Linked DNA regions of Diceros bicornis minor. The protein of the gene in region 4 purifies or fractionates together with the protein of the main gene of each other region. This does not show direct contact. Links are inferred from orthologs where the notes say so. Each region holds a gene or a part of one and is shown on either strand. Other genes may lie near its edges.

Region 1 (6,035 bases), on a different chromosome or scaffold from region 4:
GGGCCACCCCCGACCTGCTGTGGGGGTCTCAGGGCTGGTTGTTGGAGGCCAGGCCCTGCTCCTCGCCCTCGGCAGGAACTTGGCCAAGGGGAGGGGCCTGCTGGGCTTGGGGGGAACCTGGAAGCTTCTGGCAGCAGGACCCTCAGGATGGACAGCCATGACCACAGTGGGCACTCTATTCAGGGCCCAGAAAATCTGGTTCTTGAGATCCTGGGAGAGAGGATGTGGGGACCTCTGTGCTCTGCCTAAAGGGGGCTCAGAACCTGGGCATGGGGATGCCAGTGTCCCCCCGGCATCTCCCCTACCCCCAGGGTTCCTGGTTGTCTGTGGCTTTGTTGGGCTGTGACAGCACACACCCCAGAGGGAGACCCTCCAGGCTGAGGAGCAGCTGCCATTTGGATGGCTCTCCCGCCTCCTGGGCAGTGAGGGCTGCATTCACCCCCAAGGGGCCTCAGGCATGAGACAGGACACAGAAATGCAGGCGGTGGGAAGTCCCACAAAACCAGGCCAACTGTTAGAACCTCCTTGTGGTTCTGCCAAGACCTTTACTGGATGATTCCTTCCAGAGTGGGAGACGCACGCCCACACAGCTGGGGGCAGGCATTGCTCCTGGTTGCCCACCCCTGGGTGGAATGAACCCTGGGCAAGTGGTCAGCACGGCAGGCGGGCGGGCAGACTCCAGCGCAGTCACTTCTCCAGGGGCGCATAATTGAGCAGCTTCTCGATCAGGTCCACATGGGCCAGCAGCATGCGGCGGCAGCAGTAGCGCTTCAGGCCCAGAGCATCCAGGGCGTCCCTGCCGGCAAGGAGAGAACGGGCTGTGGTCAGTTTGTCCTGGCAGTCCCTGGCAGACAGAGGGCCGTGCACAGGCCATACTCAGTCCCACTCAGCTGCTGTGGGATCTTTCCTCAGCCCCACTCCACTCCAGGGAGCCCCCTCTCTCATTTCCTGAGCCAATTAGAGCTCTCAATTTCCCTGCGACCCAGCCCCAGTCACCCTCAAGGCCTGAATATTTCCACATCATTGCCTCCAACGAGCAGAGATAGTAGTTTGGGAAAGAGGAGGCCAGGCTGGGAGGTCCCTGCCCATGGCATCCCAGGGAAGGGGTCTCATGCAGGCTGCCAGCCATTCCCTAGCACTCTCGTCACTAGCAGCCTCATCAGGGCTTGGCGCTAACACTCAGCCCACCTATGGCTTCCCCGTTCATCCAACATACTTGCACTGAGAGCCTATGGCGTGCTGGCATGCCCCAAGCCCCAGGGGTTCAAATTTGATTAGGACACAGGGCTGTCCACACAGGGCCCAAAGTTTAGCCTCTAGTAGGGAAGAGAGACTAGAATAGGCATGGTGGTAACTGTAGTGCTAAAGGGCAAGCACAGAAAAGGGACCCACAACAGCCTGATGAGGACGGCTGTGTGGTCACAAAGCTTATCCTCCGTCCTAAAAGGAAAGTGGGTTTGCCGGGTACAGATGTGGACCTAATGACAAAGAAACAAGATTAGGAAGCAAGCACAGGGAGAGGAGGCTGAGAGTTTTAACTGTGGTAGAGAGGCACGGTAACCCGCCAGCATACCTAGGTGTCCCCAAGACACCAGTTGCTTGATGCCCAACACCCCACCTCTCCCCAAGCTGGCGGGCAGTGGGAGGCAACGCTGTCCTGAGGGAAGGTCAGGCTGGAAGGTACCTCGGAACTGCAGCATCACCTGGCATCTGATGAGTGCCTCTGCCCACCTCGCACGCCGGGACCCTCCCAACTCCCCGCTCGCAGCCTGGGACCCCCCACCCCCGTCCCTTTCCCACAGGCCGGGATCCCCCACCCCTATCCCCGTCCCGCAGGCCGGGACTCCCTACCCCTATTCCCGTTCCGCAGGCCGGGACCCCCCACCCCGACCCCGTCCTGCAGGCCCGGACCCCGCTACCCCGTCCGCAGCCCGCAGGCCGACGGTCCGGCAGCCTCCCCTCCCGCGCCGGCCCGCGCCTCACCCCTCGGTGTACTCGGCCTGCAGCAGCCCCAGGTAGGCCTCCCACTTGTTGCCGACGATCTTGCCGCACGTAAAACAGCGCACAGGGATGATCATGGCTGTGGAACAGAAGAGCACAACCGTACCGCCCGGCGACGCTTCTGCGTGTGGCGCCGGGCCCGCCGCGGGCGCACTTATAGAGCAGGCGGTGACCGCCCCGCCCCGGGCGCGCCTATAGAGCGGGGGGTGACCGCCCAGTCCCCGGCCGCCGCCAGCCAGCCCTGCCCGCCCCTGGCGCCGCCGGCGTCCGTCTCCCGCCGCCACGAGTTCCCTCCGCGCGGGTCGGAGGTCACGGGCCCCGCGCGGCAGCGGCAGGAACAGGAGGCACCACCCCGTCCGCTGCTTTAGTACGTCCCGGCCTACGGCGGCCGCGCGGGGCCTTAAAGGGTTGTCGTCGGCGGTTCGCGTTTCTCGTGTCCGCATGACTGACAGCTGCGCGGCGGGCAGACGGCGCGCTCAGGTACTGCGCTGGTCTGGAAGATGTGGCCGGGGTCCTGCCGCCGCAGCGGGACCGGGACCGGGACCGGGACCGGGACCGGGCCCAGGACCAGGAGCGGGCCCAGAGCCGAGCCGGCGCGGAGTTCGTGCCCCAGCGCGGAGCCCCGAGCCGAGCCGCAGCAACAAGTGGCGGGGCCGGGGCCGGGGTCGCGGAGACGCGCTGCGGGGCGGAAAGGGGCTGACCGGCCAGCGAGGCCGGTGGGAGCGGGCGACCACGGGCAGGTCTTCCCGCTGCCCCTCCCGCCCGGCCCGGACGAGGGTCTTCCTGCTTGCAGCCTCTTCCTGCGAGTGCCTGGGGGGTCTCTGCAGCTGATTTGGGGATCCCATTCCCAGCCGCGGCCTGGCCCCTCGGGGCACCGCCCAGCCTACTCCCCCGCATAGTATCGGTCCCAGCCGGGTAGTTACCTGCAGCCCCGACGGCTGAGGGCGCGCTGGGAGCAATCGGGCCGGTGCCGGGCTGGGCCGGCGGCTCCTCTCTTCTTCCCAGGGAAGGGGCTGGGAGGGGGTGTGGGATGAGTCTGCACCTGTCCCAGGCCAGGCTGCGCTGGATCGCCCGCGATCTGAGGGCATCGGACTTCTGAGGACCCCGAGGGGAGCAGAGGCTAGGGAAGGTGGTCAGGGAGAGTGTGTTCGAAGAAGTACCCCTGAGCTGAACCTTGAAGAACACAGGATTTCCCCAGGGGCGAGCCTGAGTGTGTGAGAGAGCAGGACAGATCCGGGCAAAGGGAACCCTCGGGCAGAGACCTGGAGGCTGTACCTGCAGAGCAGCTCAAGGAGACAGGTTTGCACTAGGGCAGAGGAGGTGGTGGAGCTCGAGGTCATGGGGCAGGAACCATGGAGGATTTAAAGGGATGGGAGGCTGTGTCTCTGAAAATGGGGTGGGTTGAGCGGGTGATCCCGGGGCTGGGGTCTGCAGGGAGGGCAGTGTGTAGTGAGAGGCAGGGAAACCTCCCTGGAGGAGGTGAGCTTTGGGCAGTAGGGGGTGGATGTGTTACAAAGTGGCGCCTATGACTTACTTGCGTGTGCAGGCTCTGGGCATGTTCACTGGCCTGGGGTGTCTGGATCTCTGATTGGGATGGGGCCAGCGTTGGGTCCCAGGCATCAGCTAACTGCCCTCTCAGGGTGGATGATGGACTCTGGCCTCAGTTGGGGAGCAGGGAGATGGAGGGTCCTCTGGGTCCTGGGTGGGGCTGGCCAGAGCTGCTGCCTGCCTGGAATTTGTGTCCCCACCTTCACCTGGGCTCTGGACAGCTTCCCCAGTGGCGTTTGCCATCCCCCACCCTGCCACGTGCAGAGCCACGAGCTGAGGCCACTTCCCTTCCCTGCCCTCCCCCAGGCTGACTGGACGCACATCCTGTCCCCGACCAGAGGAGCAAGACGGGGGCCTTGAGTCACAGTGGCCTGGAGTCGGACTCGGGCTCAGCTGCAGAGGCTACCGGTGGCTGTGGAGGTGAGGGAGACAGGGGAGGGGCTCCGGGATGTCCGCTGGGTGGACATTCAGGAGCTAGGGGGGGATGGAAGGCTTCCTGGAGGAGGGGCCCAGGGCCTGCCCCACCCTTGCTCCAGCCCTGACTCGTGAGCAGTTGTTTACTCCGAGAGAGTGAGGGGAATGAGCCTCCCGCCCTGATGCTGGCCAGAGCCAAGTTGACATTCCTGGAATTCTGAGCGCTGCGTGTGGATTTGGGGGTGGTGGCCGGCTTCCTCTTCCTGAGCTCCTCCTCCAGCTCCCTGAGTTCCCAGGAGAGGCCATGGGGAGCAGCGTGGCTGCCGCTGTCCCAGCCTGTGCACGTACTCCCAACACCCGTGTGCACGGAGGCTCCTTGGGGCCCTTGATCCTCCCGTCTTGACTCTGCTGTGGCTCAGGCTGGACCAGAGGACCCTGGGGGAGCCTCAGAGGTCAGCCCTGCCTTGCTGCCGGGGCCTGGGTGGTCGTATGTCTGTGTGTGTGTGTGTGCACACGCTCTGGGAGGAGCAGGCTGGGGTGTGGGCCGGGCTCTCTTCAGGGTGGGCAGGGGCAGGAGGTGGTGGGCTGGGGGTGGGGCCGTGTCTGCTGCAAGGGTAGGTGGGGGCCCTAGCTTCTCCCCTGGGTGTGTGTGGAGCCTAGGCCTCTGGGGAGGGCCGGAGATGGGGACGGGAGAGCGGGGCGCGGTTTCTGAGAGTGGACTGTCCCGCCCCGGTGGTGGGGGCTCGAGGAAGGAGGGCCATGCTAATGTGTGGTTTGGAACCCCTGAGCCTCATTTCCTGCCGGAGGGGGTCACTTCAGGGCAGACCGGACAAGGGGAAATCAGCGATTGGAGTTTGAGCTGCTGAGACCCTCCAGCCCTGAGGGTTGCCCTGGAAACAGGCTGGCCACAGGGGTGACCCAGCCTGGGAGAGGGCTCACCCTGCCCCCTGGTCCTAGGTCACAGCCTCAGTTTCCTGGTCTGTAAAGTGTGGGTGGAACCAGAAGCTGCCCAGCGGGAGGGTCCCAATCCTGGCTGTGCAGGCGTGCGGTCCCAGGCTCGGCCCCTGGCCCTGCTTGCTTGGTAGATGTGGGCTCACACAGGGGGCGTGCGGGGTCGGGTGGGGTGAGCATACAGGCTCAGACGCCTCCCCAGGGTCGGGCGAGGTCACTGCCTGCCACACCAGTACTTAACGCTCTGGGCTCTGGGGAATGTGGAGTCGTGAGTGGTGGCATTTGCAGATGTGCTTGAGGCCAAAATGGCCCTAACCTACTGACCCTCCGGACATCCCTGAGGGTACTGCTCTATAGGGATCTCTGTGGCACGGGGCCGGGTGGGCACGTCTGTGCAAGGTAGGTGGGCACACACTGGGCACCTGAGGCAGGGTGCTCCCAGGGCCTGTGGTGGGTGGGAAGGCTCCCCCCACTCCCAGGTCCTAATTGTGTCTCCTCCACCCCCTCCTCCACGTGGCCTCTAGCAGAGAAATACCTGAGGGTGGGAGGATGAGAGGGGGGTGAGGAGGCAAGGCTTTGAGCTTGGGGTTGGCCTCGGTGGGCCCAGGAGGAGAGACTGGGGGCCTCTGGGTGGCGTCTCTCACGGGGACCCCTCCCCTAGGGACCCCTCCACTGGAGCGAGTGTCTCCCAGCCCGGGAGGCTGTGGATTGGGTGTGGGGAGAGGGCCCTGCCCAGGCTCTGTGTGTGGAGGGGGTACCAGCCTGCCTTTCCCCCAGGGTCGGGGCCTGGGTGGGCATTGGGGCCTGGCAGGCAGCAGGAAGGCGGACACCACAGGCCTGTTTGTGTTGGCGGGGCCCTGGCTCCTCAAAGCCGCCTCAGAGCCGGCTCGGCCTGGGGGCCCGGGGTGGGCGGGCTCCGCTCTGCTCTCCACCCTGAGCTGCCCCCACTGTATGTGTGCTCCTGGGCCAGGCCCCTGCTGCTGCTCGCGGCTGAGGCTCTGGGTGGGTCATGCCACTGGCAGCCACCCATCAGCTCCAGGCCTCCAAGTCCTCCAAGTCCGCGTGGGCAAGCGCTCTTTCAGCTTTTGGGGAGGTTTCTATTTGAATGGGACCTTGGTCTA
Region 2 (7,798 bases), on a different chromosome or scaffold from region 4:
TCTTTCATGTTTTCTATCTTGACCCTGTATTTGTTTTTTCACAGAATTACAACTTTAAAAAAAAATTTCACTCTTATTATAATGTATGCTCCATGTGAACAAGAGCTGTGTCTCATCTACTAACATGTCTATTCCAGGGCCTGGTATACACCAAATGCTCAATAAATACAGAAATACATTTATCTAAAGAGTTGACTGAGTGTAGGAAATGCGGGCTTTATGGTAGGCTAGTAGAAGAGGTCTGATTTGAGTGAATAAAAGGCTATATGCCTTAACTACTGACATGGATTCATCTAATATTTACTAACCATCCACTACCTATCAAGCATTGTGCCTCAAGTTAGTATAGTGGGTACACAACATAAGCACTAACAATAGCATAGTAAATCCAAAACCAAGAAACACAGAGCATAATGAAAGCACATACAAATACCCAAACTAGGGTAGGAAGTCCGACATGTAAGTTCTTACCTAGACCAGAGTATGGCAGAAGGAAGAGTGTTCCAGGAAGAGGGAATAAACAAAGGCTCCAAAGGACAGAGCACTGGGGGGTGGTGTGCTCAGGTTCAAAGGCTGACAGATATTAGGGTGAATTAAGAGTCAAGTTGGGGTAGGACAGGCATGAGAGACAACGCTGAAGAGGTAAATAGGACAGCTCTTAGACGTGATTCACTAATATTTTAAGTTTTCCAAAAAAAAAAATCATTTTCCCCACATGGAATTTTCCTTCTCCCTGTCCTTACTGTTTCTCAAATACTCCTTTTTTAATGTAACCTTGGGCTATACTTAGATACCTAAGGACTGAAAACGTTATCTGGTCTTCCCAGTTTTCTCCTTCTGTAATACAATTAAACTCTCTTGACCTACTTAGGTCATTTCTGATTAAATATTTTATTACTGTCCTGAAATTAAAGCAGTAAACTGGCATCTATCCTGTAAATGCTATCACAAAGATGGAGCCTGATACCACCAAAAACTCTCATGTGAAACTAGAATTCTCACAATTCTTTCAAATTATTCCCCACCCTTGCCCAATCTACCAATCATAGCAAAGGATGCAATTCTCCCATGAATTTACTAAAAACTATCTATCAAGAAGCTAAGTCCTCCCACCTTTCTTTCCTTCCTCCTTTTATTTTTTAAACCAACAAGTCTATGTGGGGTCATGCTCTATTGCATCTCTCCCTCTCCCCCAATCATAGCCATGAATGCATATTCCTTTTAATCCCCTTGATCAAAGTCCTTGCCTGGGCCTCTGATTTTCTCATAGTTTCCTCACTTTCAATGTTGGCTCAATTAAAAAAGAGAAAGTAAGCTAGAAAAAAAACCCTAAAACAGTCAACCTGAGGACTAAGGAACAGAAACCACTCAAATTAGTTTAAATAAAAGAGGGAATTTATTAGAACAATACAAAGGTTCTTGCAGGGATTCCAACAGCGGCAATGGGTCAATACCTAGAAGCACACCTTTCAGAAGGACAGATCATGATGTAACCACAAACTTCTACTTGTGGGTTTTACAAGATCACGAAGAGAATATCCTAGAGGATAGTCTTCCCTGTAGCATGCATAAGTGACTAGAATGTGGATTTATTTCTGCTTGCTTTTTGATCCTTATATTCCTTTATGCTGGCCTCAAACTTGTCAAGCACATGCTGGCAGACATTCATGAGCTCATTCAGGCCTCTCTGAAATGGCTCAACAGCTGGAAGAGTACCTCGAGTCTGAATGCGCAAATTAATTTTGCTCTCTGAAGGATGGGTTGTAGTATAACCACAAAATTCCACTTCCGGGTTCTTCATGATCATGTAACGAAGAGAATTTCCTAGGGTATGGTCCTCCTCGTGCAATACAAATGTCACACAGTGTCTATCTGTTCCAGCTGCCTGGACCATTTCCAGGGCTGTCTTCCTCTCGCCTTCAGCCATTGAGGTCTTCAATCCAGATCTTTTTCTACACACATATTTTTTATAAAAATGAGATCATACTGAATATGGTTTTGTTAACTAGCTTTTTTCATTTACTATTTCACAACTGCAACACATTATTACTCTAATGTACTTCAATTACATAGAACTATTAGCATTAGCCCCTTATTTTGCTGCCTCCACATAGTCTATCAATAATATTTAATTTATTGCCTCCAGTTTCTCCCTACTCCATTTGACCGTCCACATGGCCACAAGGCGAGTCTCCTTAAAACACAAACTTAAATGTTTGCTAAAATATTCTTTTGGTAGAGTCATAAGAAAGGGATAGGATTAGAATAGGGAGGGCCCTGCTAGAGGATGAAAACGGAGTTGAAAGGCGTATAAAAACACAGATTATTATAAAAATAGACTATAGATTATCAACGTGCAGGCCCACTACGGCTTCCATTTGCAGGACGTAAGGAAACTAGAAGGGAAAGTCGGAGAAGAGTCAATCAAGCAGGAGGGAGAAAGATCTCAGCGCACAGTGGCTTCATTAGCAGTCTGCACAGAGGAGGCACTTGGGCCGCAGTTACAGGGAATACGACCCGACTGAGCACACCAATGCTATCACTTGGGGAACAGTGGCCTGGTGCGTAATTTTACACGTTAGCGTTATTTACTCTTACTGTTCTAACGGGGGGTGGGGTGGGCAGAGTGGGGACTTAAACTCTAATCTCACAACTTGTCTTGGTATCTAGTGTACTGAGCGTCTGTATTCAAACACATCCACGTCTTCACCCCTCTCCTCCCAGTCGGGGACCCTCTCCCTGCCCAGGCGCCCGCTTCTCTCTCCCCCACTGCCCTCCCAGCCATGCCCTCGCTGCCAGGCAGCGCCGCGGAGGCTGAGGCCCCGGCCGGCCGCGGGCCCCTCGGCCACCGGCTCCCGGTGCAGGGCGCGGCCCTCTCCTCCCACCCGCTCGCCCGCCCGCCTCCTCCTCGGCCGTTACCTCTCCAGCTCCTGGTCCTCTTCCATGGCGGGGACGGCTTCCGGGACCCTCAGGTGGTGCTGGCGGACCGGAGGCTCAGCCCCATGTCACGAAACGTGCGGGCGAAGCAGGAAGGAAGGAACGACCGACGGAAGCAGCCGCAAACGGAAGGAGCGGGGAGGAGCCGCAGCGGCGCGGCAAGGCCCAGCCACTGGGCGGGGCGTGGAGGCTCCACCGGAGGCCCCGCCCACATGCCCCGCCCCTGGCGCGAGGAGGGCGGGAGCGAGGCAGGAGCCGCTCACCTGGCCCTCCCGGAGCAAGTCCGCCGGCAGAGCTAGCGGGGAGAGAGGAGGGGTCGGGCTCCCGCCCCACTCCGATGCCGAGACCGGCCTGTGGGCGCCTGAACTCAGCCCTCGGCACCTTCCTCTAGGTGATGGCGAAGGGGGCGGGGCCTTACCTGTGGCCCCCAAATCACCTTCCTTTTTAGGGCCGGATTCGGGCCTCTTTCTGACTTGCTGTTAGACCCGTGGGGGATGGTGTTACTCCCAGGCGGGACCCCAACCCTCGGGGAGGCTTTCATGGGACGACAGGCTTAAACTATAGTTGATCAGTACACCTTGATGAATTTCACAACCGAATAGGATGGTTTGAGCCGGTATTTGTCTCATACGGGATCTTGCAGCTAGCTGCACAGCTCAAGTGGGTCAAAAGACAGGCGTTTGTCTTTACCTTTTGGGGGAGGAGTGAGAGTTTGGAAGGAAGCCCCCATCCTTTCTCTCCTGGGATCTTTTCTACTCCTGAAGTACGTCCTCCTTCCCTTTGGACTTCCTTTTCCCTTTACCCTTTCGGCGTCTTAATCCTCCTCACCTGCGGAACCTCTCGCTCACCTTTGTTCACAGGTGCCGCTGACCCCGCCTCGGCAACCTTTCACCACCCAGACTCGCTCTCCGCCCTCCTTCCTTCGTACCGCTCCTCTCTCCGTCCCCTCAGGTGTTCTTTGCTAATAACCCCTCTCCCTTCCTCGCTCACCAGCTCCCCTCGCCTCCCTCACCCAGTCAGCCCCTGTCCCTACCACCCTACCCCGGCTGTCCTCTCGTCAAACACACCTACACTTCTGCTTTCCTCCGCCACTTGTTCTCCTTACCCGCCCCCCCACCCCCATTCCCCTAGATGTTCCCTGCCTCCCCCAGCTGTTCCGCTCTCTTCGCAGCGATCGGCGGGGAGCGCAGAGACTTCTCGAGCGTGTGTTCTGCAAGGGAATCAGGCGAGCGGCGGCAACACCCGAGGCGGGGGGGGAGGCCAGGCGGCGGGAGGCGGAGCAGGCTCACTCTAACCCGGGACTGACGGCCCGTCCTGGCCCGCCCCCTGAACCCTCGGATAGGCGAAGCCGCTCTCTGGCCCGCCCATCTCCCGCCCTGTGCTGCCGCCGATTGGCCTAGGTGCGTGTCGGGTTGGGCGGCTGGGCCCCGGCGCTCGCCCCCGCGAAGGCAGCAGGGGCGGTTGAGAAGCGAAGTCTTGGCCCGAGTTTGCTTCTTGCCAGGAAATCCGCGGCGGTGGCGGCGATTCCCCGCGAAGCAGAGGCCGGCTAGCTCCGCACTCCCTCAGCGGGCCGCGGCGAGCGGAGCTGGGCTGTGCTGCGACGCCGGGAGCCGGCGCGCGCCCCGGGCAGCCGCGCTTTCCCAGTGAGTAACTTTGCCTGGCCGCCTCGCTCCGCGCCCTCCCGCCGGGTCCGGGCAGCCGCCTCAGGTGCGGGCGTCGGTGGGGTGTGGGGCAGCGCCGCGCCCGGGGAGGCGGCCCGAGCGGCGCCACCGCCGCGGTGCGCGGCTCTCCTCCTCGCGCGCCGGGCTGCGGGGAACGCGGACCCGGGTGTGGGGCCGGCTGCGCTTGTCCAGGGAGGGAGGGACGGGCTGCCCTCGCCCGGTGCTCGCCGCCGGGCAGGCGCCGGGGAGAGGTGGGCGGCCCCCGGCTGTTACCATTTGGTGGTTCCGGCCGCTGTGTTGCAGATCTTTGCGTCCTTTGCTTTTTTAAGGGGAGAGGTGGGGAAGAGTTTTTTATTTCCTGTGTGTATGTTGTGGTGAATGAGAGACACTAGCTGCCTTCCGTCAGATCTTGTTCCCCTGGAAAGGAATGGGGAGAGATCGTACCCTCCGTCCCAGCCTGTTGCCTAGGAATTCTCACCTTTCCCTTCAGGCCAAAGAGGGTGGGAGAGCGATTTCACCTCTTCATGGGGGTAATTTCAAAATATGGATCTTGGTTTTGAAGCAGTTGCACACAAAGCACCACTCAGGAAATACATCACTCGCTTTTTAAAGCTTTATGCCATATTTTAAACGAAGGAATTTTAACTTATATGTAGTGTTTCTTCTGATATTTCAGTTTACATTTAAGGTTACAAATCAAGACGTTCGTATCTGCCAGGAGCTACAGTACATTCATGCACGGGCTTAACTGTATAGATGTTTCTTTTTAAATCACAGAAACCAGAAACGAAGTTAAGTGAAAAGCAGTGGCAGTGCAGGAGGAGGAAACAGTTGTGAGCTTCGGTTTATTGGAACTGCCTTCACTTAAAGAATTTCACATTCTTGAAGCAGCAGTAGTTAATTGTAAATTGGCCTTCGTCCCGGGACAGATTTTGAGTTTTTTCTTGTGTGTACTGTGACGCAGCACTGATGAAGTTGGATCTCAGATCAATTTTATTTACTTTGATGGATTTGATTCCGATCTCCACACTCCTTTGGAAAATGGACTTTGATCTAGTATCCTTTTGGGGCCTGTCAAAACTTTGTTAAGCCATGAAGAACAAAGTTTTACCTTTTTAGCTTGTCCAAGTCCCACATGTGATTTTTCCCATAGGGGTAAAATGTATGCCAAATCGGAACCGAAGTAGAATAACACTACTTTTAATTTGGCCCACTTGTGTGTTAACATTCCTAATTCTGTATCTTGTTCCTTTCCTTTTCTCAAGTGAGAAATTTTTCATTATTTCTTCATTCAGCAAATGATAGAGTGCCTACTGCATGCCAGGCCTTGACGGCAGGGCTCGGCTCTTGCCCTGAAGTTGCTCATAGTCTTATTGGGAAGCTGAGCCATACTACTAGCTACCTGAAAGTTATCTGAACAAAGTGCTGTGGGAACTTGGAGCATTTCTGCCTGGAGTTTGTTAGGGAAGGCCCCACATAGGCACTCACTCTTCAAATTGGTGTGGGATTTTCCAGGTACATTCTAGACAAAGAGACTAATATGTAGGGTGTTGCATTACGAGATCTGCATCTAGTTACTCTGGCTGAAGGACACAATGTATGGGGTTGGAGTGGTAGTCAAGGGCTGGGTAGTATTCATTTCAGAGCACTTAGCACTTTGCCTTGCTTACAGTAGGCACTCAAATATTTATTGAACTGACTTAAACAGAAACACAAAGGATTTTGTATGCCAAATTAAGAAAACCGGACTTTAGCCAGTTAGTAATACAGAGCCGCTAGTTTTAAGCAGGAGAATGTTGTGATAACATTTGCATTCCAGAAGGATATTTGCAGCGGTCTGGAGGATGGTGGGGGTGCAGATGGGAGGTAGGGGGACAAAGTAGGAGCTTTTATACTATAGGGGTTAAGTGCTCAGGCTTCTCAATTCACATTTTCAGGGTTTGAATCTGGCTATATCACTTATTATATAACCTCTTTCTTCCTCAGGTTCTTCATTTCATGGGGTTTGGGGGATAAAGCTTGAAAAACATGTATATTATTTGGAATAGTGCTTCACACATAGTAAGGACTTGGTAGATGCTAGTTGTCTGTGAAGGCAGTGGAAGTAGGTGATGATGTGGCATTTAGGAGGTATATTTGGTTGGAATAGGTAAGTGACTAGATATGATTAATGATGATTCCTAGGGATGATTCCTAGGTTTTTTGACTTGAGGCATTGGAGTGTACTGGTTAAGCTGGCTGTGGAGTCAGGGATTGAATTCCATCACTTACTCTTAGAATTACTATCCTGACTGAGCTTTGGTTTTCTCACATTTAGGAAATGATCATAGTACCTGTCTAGTAGGGTTTGAGGATCAAATGAAATTACGCATGTAATGCCCTTGGCAGAGGACCTAGCGCGTTACAACTGCTCAGTAAATATTAGGTGTTCCTTTAGTGATAATGACATTAATGAGCAGTGGAATGTTGGGAGATAAGAGAAGGGCAGTTAAAAACAAGGAGTGGGAAAAGGAAGGTAATTAGATTTGGAGCAGACCAGTGAGGTGCTACTGGATAGTTGAGATGTCCGTGATGAAGTTGTTGGATAGATGTGTCGACAGGAGCGAGGAAGGAATGGAAAAGAAAAAAGAGAGTTCACCTAAAGCCTTTGTGCGTTGTGGTAAACTTTATGAGATTTGGGGATTGCAGTCCTGAGAGTGTTGATGTTGAATATTAGGCATCTCTATTCTTAAAATGCATTTTGGCTACCATTACAGGGGAACTTCAGGCTCATATAATCTGGTTGGCCCTTCTCTCTCTCCTCTTTCTCTCCTTTCTGATTGCCTCCAAAAATTCAAATATTTTTTATTTTATTATGCAGAGTCATTTAACTTTTCCCTGCTTATGGGCTTAAAGTTCACTCCAGGCCCACCTTTTTATGTCAAAATCCAACAAAGTTTCTAGAAGAATCAAAGGTCTCACTTCATGGGTTCCATTCTACTTAGAAAACAGTGTTGGTTGAAAATATATGTGTATGTGTATATATATGTGTAATTCAACATGCAAGATATTTGTGTATATATGTGTGTATATATATATCTTGTGTGTAGAATTATAGTTGTAGAAGACTTGGCCAGGCCTAAAATGACCCTGTTACAGGACCGGGGAGATTTACAAAATAAATCCCCTTTAGCTTTCCTCTCATATGTTTCTTTTCCTCA
Region 3 (7,490 bases), on a different chromosome or scaffold from region 4:
TTTAAAAAAGTGAATTAGGAGGAAAAAACAAAAAAGTGAATTAGAGCAGTTTGAAGGTTATTTCTACATTAGTCTCAATCACTTGCATAAGCTTTTAGGGGAAAAAGGGATGGAGTTATAGGCAATGTGCTGGGGATTTTCACATCTAACCTTATAATCTATGCATTTCCATGGTATAGTGCTGCAAATATAAATGTTATATGTTGTAATCCCAGTAGAAAAGTTTGAGAACCAATACTATAACTCAAGTAGACAACTCAAAAAGACAGTGTCCCTTTTTCCCTAGAAGTTTACAACTTAACAAGGAAAATGTGACATCAACAACCGTACAACAAATAGTGTATATATATATATGTATGTGTATATATATGTTATATAAGCATTTACTCTCCATTGTTGGTGCAGAACCAGAGTGCTAGAGGAATTCTGAGAGGGGGCATTTTTCCTGCTAAGCTGACCAGGGAGTGCTATAAGGAAAAGATGGATTTGAGAATAATACCCTAGAAATAGCACGTAGGTAGTATTCGGGGGGGGGGGGGGGGCGACAGAGATAAAAGGTAGGAAAGTGCCCAATATCTTTTAAAAACGAGAGATATTTAAAAATCTACGATGGGTCTAATTTAAAAAAACCTTCAAATAATATGGATTTAAAACCATCAAAGTTTTAAGCAAAGAAAGAACATGTCTAAAGCAGAATTTTAGGAAAATTTTTAAGTAAATAGTATGTGGCATAGAATGAAGGGAAAGATAAATTAGGAGACTACTGAAAATATTTCAGAAAGAAAAAGCCCTGAACAAAGCTAGTGACAAGTACAAAAAATAGAGAATATCAAAAAAGGTAGAAATAAGCCAGAAAGTGGTTGGTTCTGGATACACTAATTTCAGTTAGCACTGGAATGGCCAGGTTAAGGTACCGAGCTGGCAGCTGGAAATGCTGGAAAACTCGAAGGGAGGAGATTGGAACTCAGGACAACCTTGGAATCAGCTTCAAAAGATTATGGAGGGTGAGCAGGAAAGAAGACAACCCATCAGAATTACTGATTGGGAGCAGAAAAAATGATCTTCAGATTTGAGAGTTAAAACCATAAAGCCAGGAATGTTAAATTTCTAAGAAAAGCCCCATATTGATTTTCTGGGTTTACCATAATTCAGAAGCTAAAATATATTTACCTGGTTGTTGCGGTTTTCCTGTAGTGGAGATGTAGCATCATCGGGAAATGAGCTTACATTTCTCCTTTTCAGCATCTGGTCATCCTTCTTAGCTTTCCTCAGCTCCACATTAACTTCTATTCGGCGCCGCCTCATTTCCTTGCAAAAAGATAACACATCATTTCACCTATTAGATTAGTTTTTCTTGCCAAGTGAGGGCATTTTTTCAAATTCCCTCAAAGTTCTGACCTCTTCTCAAATATCTTCCCATTTAAAAAATACCATAGGAAATCAACAGAAAGTACTCACTGTACTGTCTTTACCCTTGTTCTTGAATCTGTTAAGGCGGGCAGCTGGTGAATTAGCATTCTCATTCGTGGACATGGTTATGAGACAAAGGGAGAAAGCTCTAAGATGGGGGAGAGAAAAAATTTCCCTTTTATCATTTTGCTTTGTCAATAAGAAGAGCATCAACACAATTACCAAGCATATATTGAATCTACACTTCTCTGTTAGAGGACAAACTTCCTTTCTGAGCACTATGAAATAGTCTTGGCCAAATGATATCTGTCCCCTCCCCTCTGAAGGGGCTGAGACTTCCCGGAGCAGTGCTGTCCATCAGAAATATGTTGCAAGCGTGCATAAATTTAAATTTCCTAGTAGCCACATTTTTTAAAAAGCAAAAAGAATTACGTGAAATTAATTTTAATAATATATTTTATTTAACCCAACACTTCCAATATATTCTCATTTCACCACGTTACAACATTAAAAAATTGAGATATTTTATTTTTTTCATACTAGTTCTTCAAAATCTTGCCTGCACTTGAAGCTTACAGCATATCTCACTTCGGATGAGCCACATACATTTAGTGACTATCACACTGGACAGTGCGGCTCTAGACTCTATACGGAGTCCATAAAGAGCCAACTGAAGACAAAGCAGGGGAACTGACCTTACTGTTAAAATCTATGTCCTAGGGGCAATAAATTCAGATTCTCTGGAGGCTCTCTATTGTCTTTAAATGGCCAAAATAGCTACATTCTCCCTGAAATTTCTCACTTGAAAACTAAAGAAAAATTTGGTTCATCATTACATTATGGAGTCTTCCATCACATTTCCTGTCAACACTGAAAACTTGCGACGCAGTTCTGCATCCCCAGCATCCCGCACCCATTTTCATTTCTAGGAATCGCGAGTGAATGCACTTAATCGGGCTGATATTAATGGTGCTTCATTCAGACTCAGATACCTTAAAAGCAATCTCTGAAAGGTGACGAAAGTAAAAGTCCTCCCTACGATCTGTTATCTTTAATTCCACTATGTTCTTTTACGAAATTGTGCCACAGCCAACCCAGCGCCTACGTGTTAAGGAGCGAGTCCTTCCAACTGCCGCCTCCACCTCCGGTCCCGTCCCCTGCCCCTCACCCCGGGGAGACGCGGCGGGGAACCGGCGGAGGAGGGGCCGGAGGCGCCGGGCCCACTCCCGGACTTTGGCCCTCGGGCCTAACGGAGATTCTCCGGGCCGCAAGGGCTCCCGCTGCGGTCCGCAGAGCCTCGGCGCCCTACAACCCACGCACTCGCATCGCGGAACAGCCGCCTAGTCAACCAACGGCGCCCCCGAGGCCTCGCCAACGAGGGAGGCCGAAGGCAGGCCGGGCGTGTACCCGGGCCTCCCCTCTCGCCACCCGAAAGCCAAGCGCGGCCTGGGGCCAGCCGTTACCGCTCGGGCCAGGCTGCGGCCTGAGTTCGTACCTTCACAGCCGGGTCAGGCTTCCACAGCAATCGGCGCGGGACGCACAGGCTGCAGATCGGATGCCCTCAAAACGTCCACCACGGCTCAACCCGAAGACGGTGTGGCTCGTGCAGCCTGCCGGCGCGATTTAAATTTCCCGGTGGCTCCGCATTCCGATTGGCTGGTTCGAGCAGACGCTGTGCGTCCATTGGTGGATTTGAAAAACACGTTGGGGAGGGGTGGTGATCATAGGGCCCAGAGGAAGGGAGGATAACATCGCGAGATGGGGGAGCGGCCGGGCGATCCCAGAGCGCCTTGCAGTTCTTAGTGGAAAGACTTCAGATCCCGGCATGCAACGCGAAGGGCCGGTTCCCAGCCCCGCCTTGGCTGGATGGTCCGGTCGCTGCTGAGGGTTTATGCGAGTAAGGTCGCTGGTCGTTTTCCTGGGTGGCCTTAACCACGTACCACAGATGATTCCCAAAATCTTTCTTTTTAAAAATCTTCATATAGAAAAATATTGATATACATTTTTTCCCTGATAGGACACAGAAGGAACGTGGCAGGGGTTTCTGGCCACTATGGAGGGGAGGAGTAAGGCAGATTTGTCTTGCATTTTTTAGTTTCTCTCTTTTTTTTTTAAAACTTGTGTCATAAAAGACTGCAAAGAAGCCACAAATATGGTAACAAAAGGTTTATTATGCCTGTTTTTCCAGACACTTATTTTTAAATAATTTCAGTACAGAAGAATTGCAAATCTTTACCCAGATTTGCCAAACGTTAACATTTGCCACATTTATTTCTCTGTCTCTCTCCATGTAAATACATATACACACATACATATATATATATGGCTTTTACATATTACTTTTTGAACGATTTAAGAGTAAGTTTCAAAAATCATGTCTCCTTACCTCTAAATATATCAGCGTGTATCTTCTAAAAATAAGGGCATTCTTTTATATAACCACACCACCATCATCAAATTCAGGACAACTGAACTTTGATGCTATTATTAATTATATAGTTCATGTTCAAGGTTTGCCAATTGTTCTAGTAATGATCTATGCTGTATTTTATACATTTCTGAATAAAATGTTTACATTTTCTTGCCATGTACTTTTCTTTAAGCATCAATGAGGGTTATCAGAGCATCAGGATTGTGGGCCATTTTGTTTTCTTTCTGCTGTTTCTCTGTATTCTGAAAAAGGATTTTTTAAAAAGTTGTGTTGATTTATTTTTTGCTATAAATGAATTGAAACAGTGAACTTAGTCGTCTTGCAGGCATTTATGCCAGTCTCACTCATTGTGTAGCAGCATGTGGTTCATAGGAGGTTGATTCTATTCCCACCTACCCAATCAGCAGAATCCTATCCACTCTAAGTGCAAAAACATGGAAGGAATTCACCCCTAAGCCAGTCATTGCAGGGCATTCTCTTGGCTACTGTGAATGGTTCAGGGGCAGGCATGTGACCTAAATTCATCCAGTTGGGAAGCCTATGCCTTTTGTTTAGTGATTGCAGGTAGGAAAGCAGGCTCTGTTCTTCTGAACTGAGGGATGTTACTCCTGGAAGTATGAATAGGACAGTGGTGGAGAAACCATGAAAGCTCTGATTGACAGCATGCCCTACCTCTGAAGGTTGCAATTATACAACTTTGTGATTATGTCATCTGATACACTTTCTTTGTTGTTTAAGCTAGTTAAATTGGGTTTTCTTTTGCTTGAAAATATTGAGTACTATGTGCCCAGAAGTGTTCTGTTTTACATATATTAATACATTTAATCTTCACAACTGTGCGAGGTAGTATTATTATCTGTTCCATTTCACAGAAGAGAAGACTGAATCATGAGTGGTTAAGTAACTCGTCCAGGTTTACACAATGAATAAGTGGCAGAGACAGGATTCAGACCCAGGCTGTCTAGTCCAGGATCCATGCTCTCAATCACTATTCTGTACTTGTACCTGAAAACAACCTGAAACGGAAGTATAATGTCAAAAGTGAAAGTTGCCTTTGAAAGACACAATGTTGCCCAGGGGGAACCATACATCCTCTACTCTTAGCTATTGTAGTCTGGACAGAGATTCAGGAGAGGGCCTGTCTGGCCTAGGCCAATCAGTACATTCTATGGCAGAGACACAGCCATATTGGTTTGGTGATGAAGATGTTAACACAGTACAGTAAAAAGTTTACTGAGGCCCTTGAGAGTGAGATAGCCTCTCTCTTCCACAGGACTGTGTGCTGTGATGATGGGCGCCTGAGACTGTAGCTGCTCTGGAGAACCAAACCCAAGTGTGTCCAAATCTGAATAATCATAGTTTGTCTGTCAGTCATTCTTTCAAGTAAAAACGATGTTCCACTGAAAAAGCAGCTAGTTTAGCCTGCAACTCAAACATCACACAAATGTTTTTCTCAGGAGACAACCACTGTATTTTGGTATGTGGTAGAAGTGATTTATGCACACTTCCCATTTTGTTACACAAAATATTAAAAAGATATGTACTCGAGTCAAGACTGAATACAATTAATAATTCTTATATGATTATCAAGGACATTCTTAAGTGAAGCTGGCTCCCCCCCCCCACAGCCAGTGCGCAAAGGTGAAGAAGACACCATTACTAGTTTGATGCCACTGCCTTGATTCACTAAGGTGTCAGTTTTACCCACCATCACTTCCGCACCATCAGTGCTGAATGATTAGTGAATTATTATTCACTAGTAATGTCCTAGCTTTCATGAAAACCATTTCCTGGATGAGTCAGGGTCCACAGGTAATAAAACAGTGACATATGACACAATGACACTTAAGATTTGAAAAACACACATCAAAATGTTGGTAGTGGTTAACTCCGAATGGTAGAATTATGGTCAATTTCAATGTTCTTCGTTTGGCTTTCCCATACTTTATACAATTTTACAATGAACAGGTATTGTATGTCTAACAAGAAAACTAAATTGCATATTTTTAAAAGCCACAAATGCAGCATCTTTACATGCAACAAGCACAGAGATATTGTGTATGGAACCAGAAAGTCTAAATCTTTATCCAAAACCCAGCTTTAGGATAAACACAAACAAACAAAAATCCGTATTATTTTGTACTCAGGGACCTTGTTATATTCATTTTCCCTTTAACCTGGAGGGGAAGAGGAGAGGGGGAGGAAAGTGGATGTAGACGAATGGGGGAGAAGGGCAAATTTGAAGAAAAGCCTGTTCACCCTGGAATCCCGCAACAGTCCCCAGCACATAATTATCAAATTAATGTACGTTGAATAAATGCAAGAAAGAAAGGGAAGGAAGGCCCTGTAAGGGACGGGAGGGTTGGGTGTAGGGGGCAGGTGCCGGAGGCCCTCACGCCCCGCGAGTGGTTCCTAACGCCGGCGGCAGAGAAAGGTCCTGGGGAACTTGTAAAATACAGACGCCCGGGCCCAGCCAGATAAACAGAAATAGAACGTTGGGAGGACAGGCATTGGAATTTTGTGGTAAGTTCCCAAGTGGGCCTAATGTGCAGTCCGCGCAGCGAACAGAACCCACCCGGAAGGAGGCCGCCCAGAACCGTCCGCGTGCCGGCCACGCAAGCCCAGGGCAGCGGGGCGGACAGGGCCCCGCGCAGGCGCGCGGGGGCTCGCCCTGCAGTCCGAGCCGAGGGCGCAAGCGCGCGCCGTCGCCGCTAGGGGCGGCTCCCAAATCACACACCGCCCGACGCGAGGCCGCGGAGCTCAGGGCAGGGCGGGGCGCGATGATGGCATCACGTAAGAAGACGGTGTGAGAACCCGGATCTCGTGGTGACCCAGTGGCCTAATGGATAAGGCATCAGCCTCCGGAGCTGGGGATTGTGGGTTCGAGTCCCATCTGGGTCGCACAGAGATCAGTTTTGGTGCAGGGACAGACGATAATCACTGACGACAGCGAGGTAGATTTTAAAATGTGGTTATTTCACTTCGCTACAGCGACCTTGAGGAGATTGTGTTACAGATTAGGAAATGCATCTCCGCTTGTTAAAAACACCGCAGTTGACAATTTGGCGTGAAAGCTGAGATAGGATCCAAAACAGGGGCATTTATTCTTGCTTAATTTACAGTGACTTTTGAAAGAAAAAAGCCTTAGGAAACATGAACTGCCGACTGGACGGATGGCATTACCTCTTTTTCTGCCTACCTTTTCAAGCAGAGCTTCACCACGGGCAGCCATACATGCAAAACTTTCTCCCCATCCTAATCCCTAGGAGTTTGGGAGCAGATCCAACTCTGCTAGCTCCAAACATTTATTTTCAGTACTAAGGAGAGTTTATAGCAAAACAACTGTGCTGTTACAACATACAAATATAATAAACATAATTTGTGGTTTCTGTCCCTAAACTATTACGAACAACAAATTGTATTTAGAACTTACGGGTTTTGGGGTGTGTGTGTTTGATTTGCAAATTAGTGTAATAAAAGAAATGCAATCAGAGTTTAAACTTTTCAGGGTTCAGTTGACTAACTTGAAGAGTTTAAACACTTCTTGCAAAACTTGTACAAGAGGAATATTACTGAGTTAATTCCTACTCTTCAAAAACAACTAAACACTAAATGCAATGTGGTATCCTGGATTTGAGCCTGAAACAGC
Region 4 (7,801 bases):
ACTATACTGACCTTCTTTTACTTCCTAAAATATCCTATATTTTTCTCACTATATACTCTTGCCTTTGCCAAAAATGTTTATCCTCTGTACTCCTTCATACTTTACCTCACTGGTTGGCTCCTACTTCTGCTTCAAATCTTAACTCAAATGCCACTTTCTCAAAGAAGCATGTGCCCGAAATCCCCAGATAAAGCTGGTCCCGTTATATATTTTCATAATACCTCACAGTTTTCCTTCATAGTACTTATCAAAGTTTGTTAGTTATATATCTATCTGGTTTATTTGATTAATCTAAGTCTCCTATACTAGACTTAAGTACCATAAGGGTAGAGACTATGAGTTTTTTTTATCATTTTACACCACAGTACCTGGCACAGAATAAATCCTTGGTAACTGCCCAATTGATTGATTCATTCATTTAACAATCATTGATGAAGAATCAACAATTAGGGCAAGTCACGGTCCAGGGGTCAAAATTCCTTACCTATCAAGCTCAGTTTAGGAACCAGGTACATGTCCTTTTCACTGATGACAAGAGTGGGGGCAGGTGGTGGTGGCCCAGAGTCTGAATTCTCAGTGGCAGGCACCAAGGGACAACGCTGCACGAAGTGTGTGTCTGCTAGTCGCACAAATGTGTTTGACACCTCAGCATAGTCCATGGTCTTGCCATCTGTACAACAGGAGGAAAAAGGCAGGTGAGATGGCCTAAGACAGCTGAGGGTCTACTCCTGCAGCCAGCCAATCTATGCTTTTGCTAACAGCAGTGGATACAGTACTGACCCTCCATGGTCTCTGTGAGCCGGTCTGCCACTTTCTTCACAACAGCTGACATTGTCATTTTGCCATTCAACAGCAGCTCCTCAACAATTAGCTCCCCAGTGTCACTGTATAGTGTTTTAGCAGTATAGATGTACCGGGGATACCGAAGCATTCGCAACACCCGGCTGCATTGGGCTTCATACTCCACCACACCACGTTTGTGCACTTGATATATCACCAGGTTATGTTGGATGAGGACACAAAGAGCTTTTTTGACCTAGATAGGACCCAAAAGAAAGAGGGAAAAGATCTGAAGCCACCGCTCATTATTGCAGGCAATTTTGTCCAACAGTTTACTCAGCACCAGGAGATGGCTAGATAAGAATCTCTGTGCTTCTTCCCTCCCTCCATTGAAAGAGCTAATAAGAATCACATGTCCATAGAAGAAATCAGGAAGATTCCTCGCTACGATGCTCATGTTTCCTCTGATCTTCATCTTCCAAAGTACAATGTACTTTCCCTTTATTATTCTCATTCCTTAAAAGTAGTACTGAGATTAACAGACTCATTATGAATAAATGAGGTATGGCATAGGAAGAGCAAAGATTTGCCTAAGAAGCCATGATGAACCAGGAAGTTTGAGAAGCAGAACCTTGGGGCCTACATCTCATCCTCTTTCCCCGCAAATAACACTGTTCTGATCCCAGGGCAGGCTTTCTCCCTCTTCCATTTTGTGGGGTGGGAAGTAACAATATTCAAAGGTAGATAAAAGAAATTAATGAAAGCAAATTAATGTCATCCAAACATACCTGATCCAGTGATGTTCCTGTGTCATGGGCAATTACTCTTAGTGGCTGGCTGCCAGTTCTGATTAGGTGGACTCCAATTTTTTCTACAATCTCTCCAAAATGCTCTTGCAGCAACAAAGAACACAGTTTAATTTCTGCTTGAGTCATTGTACTGAGGAGTCTGAGAGCTGGAAACAAAAAGGACTGTATGATGGAAAGTTTTTTTTTATGTTGGGAGTAGAGCTACTGAGTGTAAATTCATGTACTTTCTCAAGGGCAATTTGACATTACAGATCAAAAGCCTTAAAATCTTGGATAACTTCGACCTAATAATTTTGTTTTGAATACATCGTTCCAAACAAATAATAAAAAGATGTCACTGTAGTTCTCTTTAGAATTCTGATATACTGGAAACAACCTAATGTCTAGCAATAAGGGATTAATTCAATCCATTATGGGATACTCATATGATGGAATACTATGCCAACATTTAAAATGAAATATAGTATGTATTAGCATAGAAAATTGTTCACTAAGGAAGCAGGTTACAAAGCAAAATGTCGAGGAAAATTCAATTATTGTGAAAAAAGAAAAGAAAAACATGTACGTATAGAAAAAAGCCTGGAAGACTATACATCAAATTTATCTTTATGGAATTATGTGTGATTTTAATTTTTTTCCTCTATTTTTTTTTAAAGGTTGGGTGTAGATGGATCTGCTATCTGTCACAGACTTTAGATTCTATACTTCATTGTTTGGAAGAATTAAGGCCACTGTTCACAGCCCATTGGGAGTGAACAGGCAGTGTCATTCCCAGTCCATAAAGGACATGACAACATAGAAAAAGAAATTAAGAGGTAAAGGAGAGCTTCTCAACAGGGTGTTTCAAATAGGAGATGAAGTATGTTGTTTGCAGGGCAGTATTTAATTTTGAAATTTCTACTCCTTGACAAAGTAGACACAAACAGACGTAGTTGGCTATATAATTACTTCCTTATCATCCCAAGTGCTACCAAACATTGGTTTGTTCATTTGTTTCTCTCAATTCCTCAGAAGCCAAGTCTTTGCCTCTCAGCCTCAGTAGGCCAACCACATGCCTTTGGGGAAGCATCCCTAGACCCTCTGCCGTCCTCGAAAAGGATTTTCAAGGAGCTTGACTCCTGGCTCTTCACTCCCTTCACGCAGGTTCCCGTTCTGGACTTGGTCCCTTGGTTCAGACAGCAGTTTCCACTAACCTCTGGGTCAATGCAATCTAACGCCGCCGATTCCCCACGGCCGGCGGTTTCATGTGGCTCCTGCTAGCCGCCGGGGCAGAGGGGGAGCCCACGGCCCTTTCTTGCAGGAGAATCGACACCGAGGAGGACGGGGAAAAGGGAAAAACGTGTGCCGCTCTACCCTCAGAGTTTCGGTGGTTTCCGGGGACACTCTTTCTTTCTTCTCGCTGGAAGGCTGGAGGACCGGCGAGGAGCTGTTTGAGGAGCCGGCGGGCGGGCGCAGCGGGCGGACTCTCCTTCCTGCGCCTCTTTGGTGCTGGGAGGCGGGCCTCGGGGTCGCAGTCGACGCCGTCGCCTCTCTGGGCTCGGCAGACTCACGTGACCGAGGCGGGCTCTGGAGCGGCCGGCCGCACTGAGGAAGCGGCGGCGGCGGCAGAGGCGGCGACCGCAGCCGGGTGGTAGTGGCTTGGCGAGGGACGGGCCGCTGCCCTCTCGGACAGCCGCGGCGGAAGAGAAAAATGGCGGAGGCTTCGGCGGCCGGGGCGGGCGCAGGCGCCGCTGTCGCCGCGCACCGGTTTTTCTGCCACTTTTGCAAGGGCGAGGTCAGCCCCAAACTACCGGTAAGAGCCCCGTGTCCTCTGCGCTCGGCATCGGCGTGAGTTCCTCGGCCCGATGTCCACAGGGTCTTAAGATCCCCGCACTCCCCTGATTCCCCTGACATCGGTCTGTCCAATACCTGCTGCTCACGGTCTCCCGTCGCTGGCCCCCAACCCTGGGCGTCCCGGCCCTGGCTCCATAACTCCCGTCCGGCCTTTTTTCCCCCTCGGATGCTTGACCTGCCCTTCACTCCCTCTCCCCTCGTTACCTGCCCCCCCCATCTTTCTGTCTTTCTTAGCTAGTTCTCCTCTGACAACTCTCCCCTCAGTTTTCTTGCACTCTTCTTCACCTTGTCTTCTCACTATGACCTCTCTTTCTCCTACTCGATACTCTTTCCGCTGTTGCTTCTCACCTTCCTCTTTGCTTTTCTACTTCACCAGATCCTCCCCCTCCCCCATCCTCAGTGAAGCAAAATAGCGGATTGATGAGGATTGTCCCTGTTCGGTTGTCTCTAGTGAAGGAAGGAAGGAAGGAAGCACGAAAGAGAGAGGGTTGGAAGGTAACTGTGGGGCAGAGAGGGGGATTTTGCTCTTCACTGGTTTCCAGGGTTCTTGTGAAAGTGAAAACAGCCGTGTGTAATGACTTGCAGACTGCCTGCCTCCCTATCACTATTGAAGGAAATGGCTTTAGGAAGAAGGCAGGACATATTGTTTCAACTTGGTTATTTTTGTTGTCCTGCTGCCAGTGTCTTTGGCACCACCTCCCTTACCCGCCCCCCTGCGCCGCTTTGTCTCTTCATTTAATAGAAAGATCCAGGACGGAATGCTGGGGACTGCATCCTCTGACATAAAATTGGTTTTCACCAGTTTCTGCCAGACTGTTAGCACCTAGAGGGGTAGTGCTATGGTTGTGAAGAAAGCGCTTCTGCAGGATGCTAGCCAGCTACAGCACCCCAAACCCAGGCCCTGTTTTGGGTCGGGTTGTAACTACTGCAGGGAGACCCACTGGGGTGAATGGTAATCCTACCTTTGGCCACCCATCTTTAGAATTAGTTATGGTTGTTTTTTTCCTTAGAAGTAATCAGGTTCAGTCTTGACAGGGTGGCTTCATAACAACTTACCTCTAGACTTATAGTGTCTCAGGTACAGTATGAGAAAGTCTACTAAAGTGTGTCTGTATGTCTTATTTCTTAGAAACACAAAGAGTCTTGTGAATAAGTGCCTGAAGAATATTGTAGCCTCTTCACCTAAAAGTTGTGCTTTTTCAGGCTTTTATAGTATTTTCTTTTCTTTCTGTTTGCCCTACCGCCAACTTCAAAGTCATAGTTTCATCTACAGGCTAGTTTTGCTTGCTGATTTGGCGGTGTGTGTATGTGCTTTTTGCCATGTTTCAGTGCTGGGAAGAGCAGGTGCTTTGTTTTTTTCCAGTGGACATCCGAGCCTCCAGAACTCTCTTACCACAGAAAGGGAGTCTGGAATTGAGCTAGTGTGTGTGTGACCAGTGACATGTTGTTGAATGTGATGCCTTGTTGAACATTGTATCCGTAGCTCTACTGATCTTTAAGTCGCTGTTCACTATTTGCCTTAAAGAGTGAGAAAACAGTCTAACTTTCCACAACTTATTATATCTTTTCTTTTTACCATCTCAAGTCCTCACTTCAGAGTGCTCTTGAACAGTGATAATTTGAAAGACTTTTTGGATGTTTTTCTAAGCCTTAGTTTGATGCCCGGAGGAGAGGCTATTGATGTTTTTACTCTGATTTATTATCTGTAATGTCTGATTTGTAAACTAAGGCCTAACACAATTAAATGTAATTGAATATTTACACATACATACAAGGTTCTGTACTGGATATTCTGAAGGCAATAACTGAGGAATATGTGGTTCCTGCCCTTAAGGAGCTCACAATTTTGTTGGAAAGACAAGACAATCATGGAAAAAGTAACAGTGTAAGGTGAGTGAGGATGGGTAATATGTGCTTTCAAATTCAGAGAGAGGGGGATATGGTAACATTGGTGAGGTGAGGGAAAGAGTGAGAGATGGGATTTAAATTGAGTTCTACAGGATAGGCAGAATTCAGATTGAGGAGGATAGCATAGACTGAGGTAGAAAAGGAAGAGTGAGTTGAGGAAGAAGGGAGAAATATTTAGTAAATCATTGTTGTTATGCATTTTTAGGAAAAGGTGCAATGAGGTCAGGGGTTTAGTTTTGATTTGTAGATGACCCAGTGAGTTGCATCTTGTTTCATGGCCATTTGTATATCCTTAACCCCAGACTGTCATCTTGAAAATGTTGGTTGTAAGAATGACCAGGTCAGTAAGTGGCTGGTTCAGTACAAATCTGTCTCTGCTACTGAAAAACCAACTCAAACACTGGTAAGTCAGTAGTATGATTTTCATATATATAGGAGAACATTGAAAAGTTTTTTGAAAATAATTTTTTATATAAACTTAAGGTTCCCTCACTGTAAGTACTCAGTATACATTAGGCATGCATTGTTTCTTCAACTGGACAAATGTTATGGGAAAGCTGGATGTCTTTCTGAGGATAGCTAGACTCAGCTTATTGTGAATGAAGTTTTTCTTTGTTTTGTCTTAATGGATCACAAGAACCATCATCCACGAGCGCTGTCCTCCCTGAACACGTGAGGCTGCGTATGGAGTTTTACATCAGCTTTCAATGAGCTATTACTCGGTAGGTTTCTTCACTCAATCAGTGGGAACGACTGCTTCAGAGCCGTCTTATCTCTTGCCAATTTAGTCACCACATAGCAGAGTCATAATTGTGTTCAGTGGGACCAGGTTGCAAGGTTTTTACCACTCTTACTTTTTCTCCGTTTCCCAATCGCTAGGATACAGCACTTCTTGATACATTTGGAAGTGTGCACAGGCAATAACAATAGTTTACCCAATGTTCAGCCCTGAAACTGCTCTTAGGTTTTTGTTTATCATTTATCTTGTCAGTCCTACTACTCTGAAAGATTCACAGACCCAGTTAACTTTCGTGTCTGAATTAGAAGAAATAGTTTTGGCTATAATTTCTGAGAGAGATTGAAATATGCCTTATGCTGTTAAGTTAAGCCACATTCGTTTGAATTAATTTGGTGAAATAACACTCCTTATTGCTAATCCTGATTTATCCATCTTAGCTTTGTGTGTCTTTGGTATGAATCCTCCCAGATAAGAGAAAAACGTTTCATTTAGAAAGACGATATTAAGAAATGAGGGAAAACCGTGAATGGAATTTTAAAATGAAAATATAGTATTCAGTGGTACTGTTATCTGTTAGGCATCAAAAAAGAGTCTCCATTCTAGAAGTGAATATTGATTTAGAAATTTCTTTCTCTTATTGGGAGTGTTTTGTTATTTACAGTGAAATTAATTTTAGTAAAATTTAGTGAGTACTAAACTTGAATTTTAAAATAAGAGATTTTGATTATATGGTCTGAAACCCCAGAGTTTCAAGTTTATATATGATTAGGTAAAATGGCATTGTGTATTTTTTGGTCATCAAATGATAGAAGAAATACTTAAGTAACTTAAAATTATTTTCATAACACAGCAGAAGCTTTTGCCTCACCTGGCTATACTGTTGAGAGACACTGTGAAGTCAAGACTGACACAGTTACTGTGCTCCATTGATGAATGACTGGGCAGTACCACAGAGGGCTGTGTTATGGAATGTAAAGATGTCATTCTGTCCTCTTTTACATCAAGGCCAGGGAATATTACCTTATGAGATGGAGTCTGATAGAATCATCATTAAGCAGGTGAGATAAATCATATGCAGAGTAAACTACTTTTGGTATTGATAAGACTAGGGTGGTTCTTAAGTGTTTTGTGGAGATCAGAGTCCTCATCCAGACAAGAGACCAGTCTAAGGATTACCAGTGTGTTGCTCATTTCTGAGGCTCTGCCTGAAAGAACTAGCAGGCTTCTCTCCCTCTCTCATCTCCTTATTATATCACCTTCTTTGATCTAATAAAATGTCATCCTTATCAATAAGTAATGTTATCTAGTTTGGCTCTTTACCAGGTGCTCCACAAGTTATCATCATTGTGCTGTACTTGTAATGGTTCTAATACGGGAAAACTTTCTAACTACCCTATTAGAAGAGTAGCTGAAAAGTAGATTTCTTAGACTTTGTGATTCTTAAAACTCTAAGCTCAATAACCTTGCTTTTTAAGTTGCATGATTCTTGGAAAGATCCCAGGGTGGTGTATAAGTAATGTAAGTAGTGTTGTTGAACTAGGGGAAGGAATTCAGTGATTTGAGCTGGGTTTGAGAGGTTTTAATTATTAGATTATCCTAAATTTTGCTATTTGTGATTTAACTAGCTAAAAAGTCTACTTGATTATCTGGCATCTCTCTGGTGCTATATAGCAGTTGTTTATTAAATATTTCTTGAACGAATATGTGATATGATAAGTTGAATACCCAATAA

What was found.
Region 1: the proteins of POLR3C (region 4) and POLR2L purify together in Homo sapiens (co-immunoprecipitation; 3 studies listed by BioGRID and IntAct, with this or other methods). This does not show direct contact. The link is inferred for Diceros bicornis minor from reciprocal best matches to the Homo sapiens genes POLR3C and POLR2L.
Region 2: the proteins of POLR3C (region 4) and protein POLR1D purify together in Homo sapiens (affinity purification with mass spectrometry; 3 studies listed by BioGRID and IntAct, with this or other methods). This does not show direct contact. The link is inferred for Diceros bicornis minor from reciprocal best matches to the Homo sapiens genes POLR3C and POLR1D.
Region 3: the proteins of POLR3C (region 4) and KPNA2 purify together in Homo sapiens (co-immunoprecipitation; 3 studies listed by BioGRID and IntAct, with this or other methods). This does not show direct contact. The link is inferred for Diceros bicornis minor from reciprocal best matches to the Homo sapiens genes POLR3C and KPNA2.

The regions. Positions count from the first base shown.
Region 1 is NC_080770.1:1,179,878-1,185,912, reverse strand, and holds POLR2L (DNA-directed RNA polymerases I, II, and III subunit RPABC5), read right to left. Parts: upstream 2,133-6,035; 5' UTR 2,079-2,132; coding exon 1,984-2,078; intron 797-1,983; coding exon 688-796; 3' UTR 523-687; downstream 1-522. UniProt on the Homo sapiens protein: DNA-dependent RNA polymerase catalyzes the transcription of DNA into RNA using the four ribonucleoside triphosphates as substrates.
Region 2 is NC_080748.1:10,914,715-10,922,512, reverse strand, and holds the start of protein POLR1D, read right to left. Parts: upstream 3,004-7,798; 5' UTR 2,946-3,003; coding exon 2,920-2,945; intron 1,953-2,919; coding exon of another isoform or gene 1,577-1,952; exon of another isoform or gene 1-1,576. Other genes in the region: DNA-directed RNA polymerases I and III subunit RPAC2, read right to left, coding at 1,577-1,952, 2,920-2,945.
Region 3 is NC_080757.1:47,461,285-47,468,774, forward strand, and holds the start of KPNA2 (importin subunit alpha-1), read right to left. Parts: upstream 3,013-7,490; 5' UTR 2,906-3,012; intron 1,559-2,905; 5' UTR 1,534-1,558; coding exon 1,459-1,533; intron 1,309-1,458; coding exon 1,171-1,308; intron 1-1,170.
Region 4 is NC_080743.1:53,359,374-53,367,174, reverse strand, and holds the start of POLR3C (DNA-directed RNA polymerase III subunit RPC3), read right to left. Parts: upstream 3,010-7,801; 5' UTR 2,783-3,009; intron 1,736-2,782; 5' UTR 1,716-1,735; coding exon 1,569-1,715; intron 1,037-1,568; coding exon 781-1,036; intron 671-780; coding exon 485-670; intron 1-484. Other genes in the region: E3 ubiquitin-protein ligase RNF115, read left to right, coding at 3,280-3,381. UniProt on the Homo sapiens protein: DNA-dependent RNA polymerase catalyzes the transcription of DNA into RNA using the four ribonucleoside triphosphates as substrates.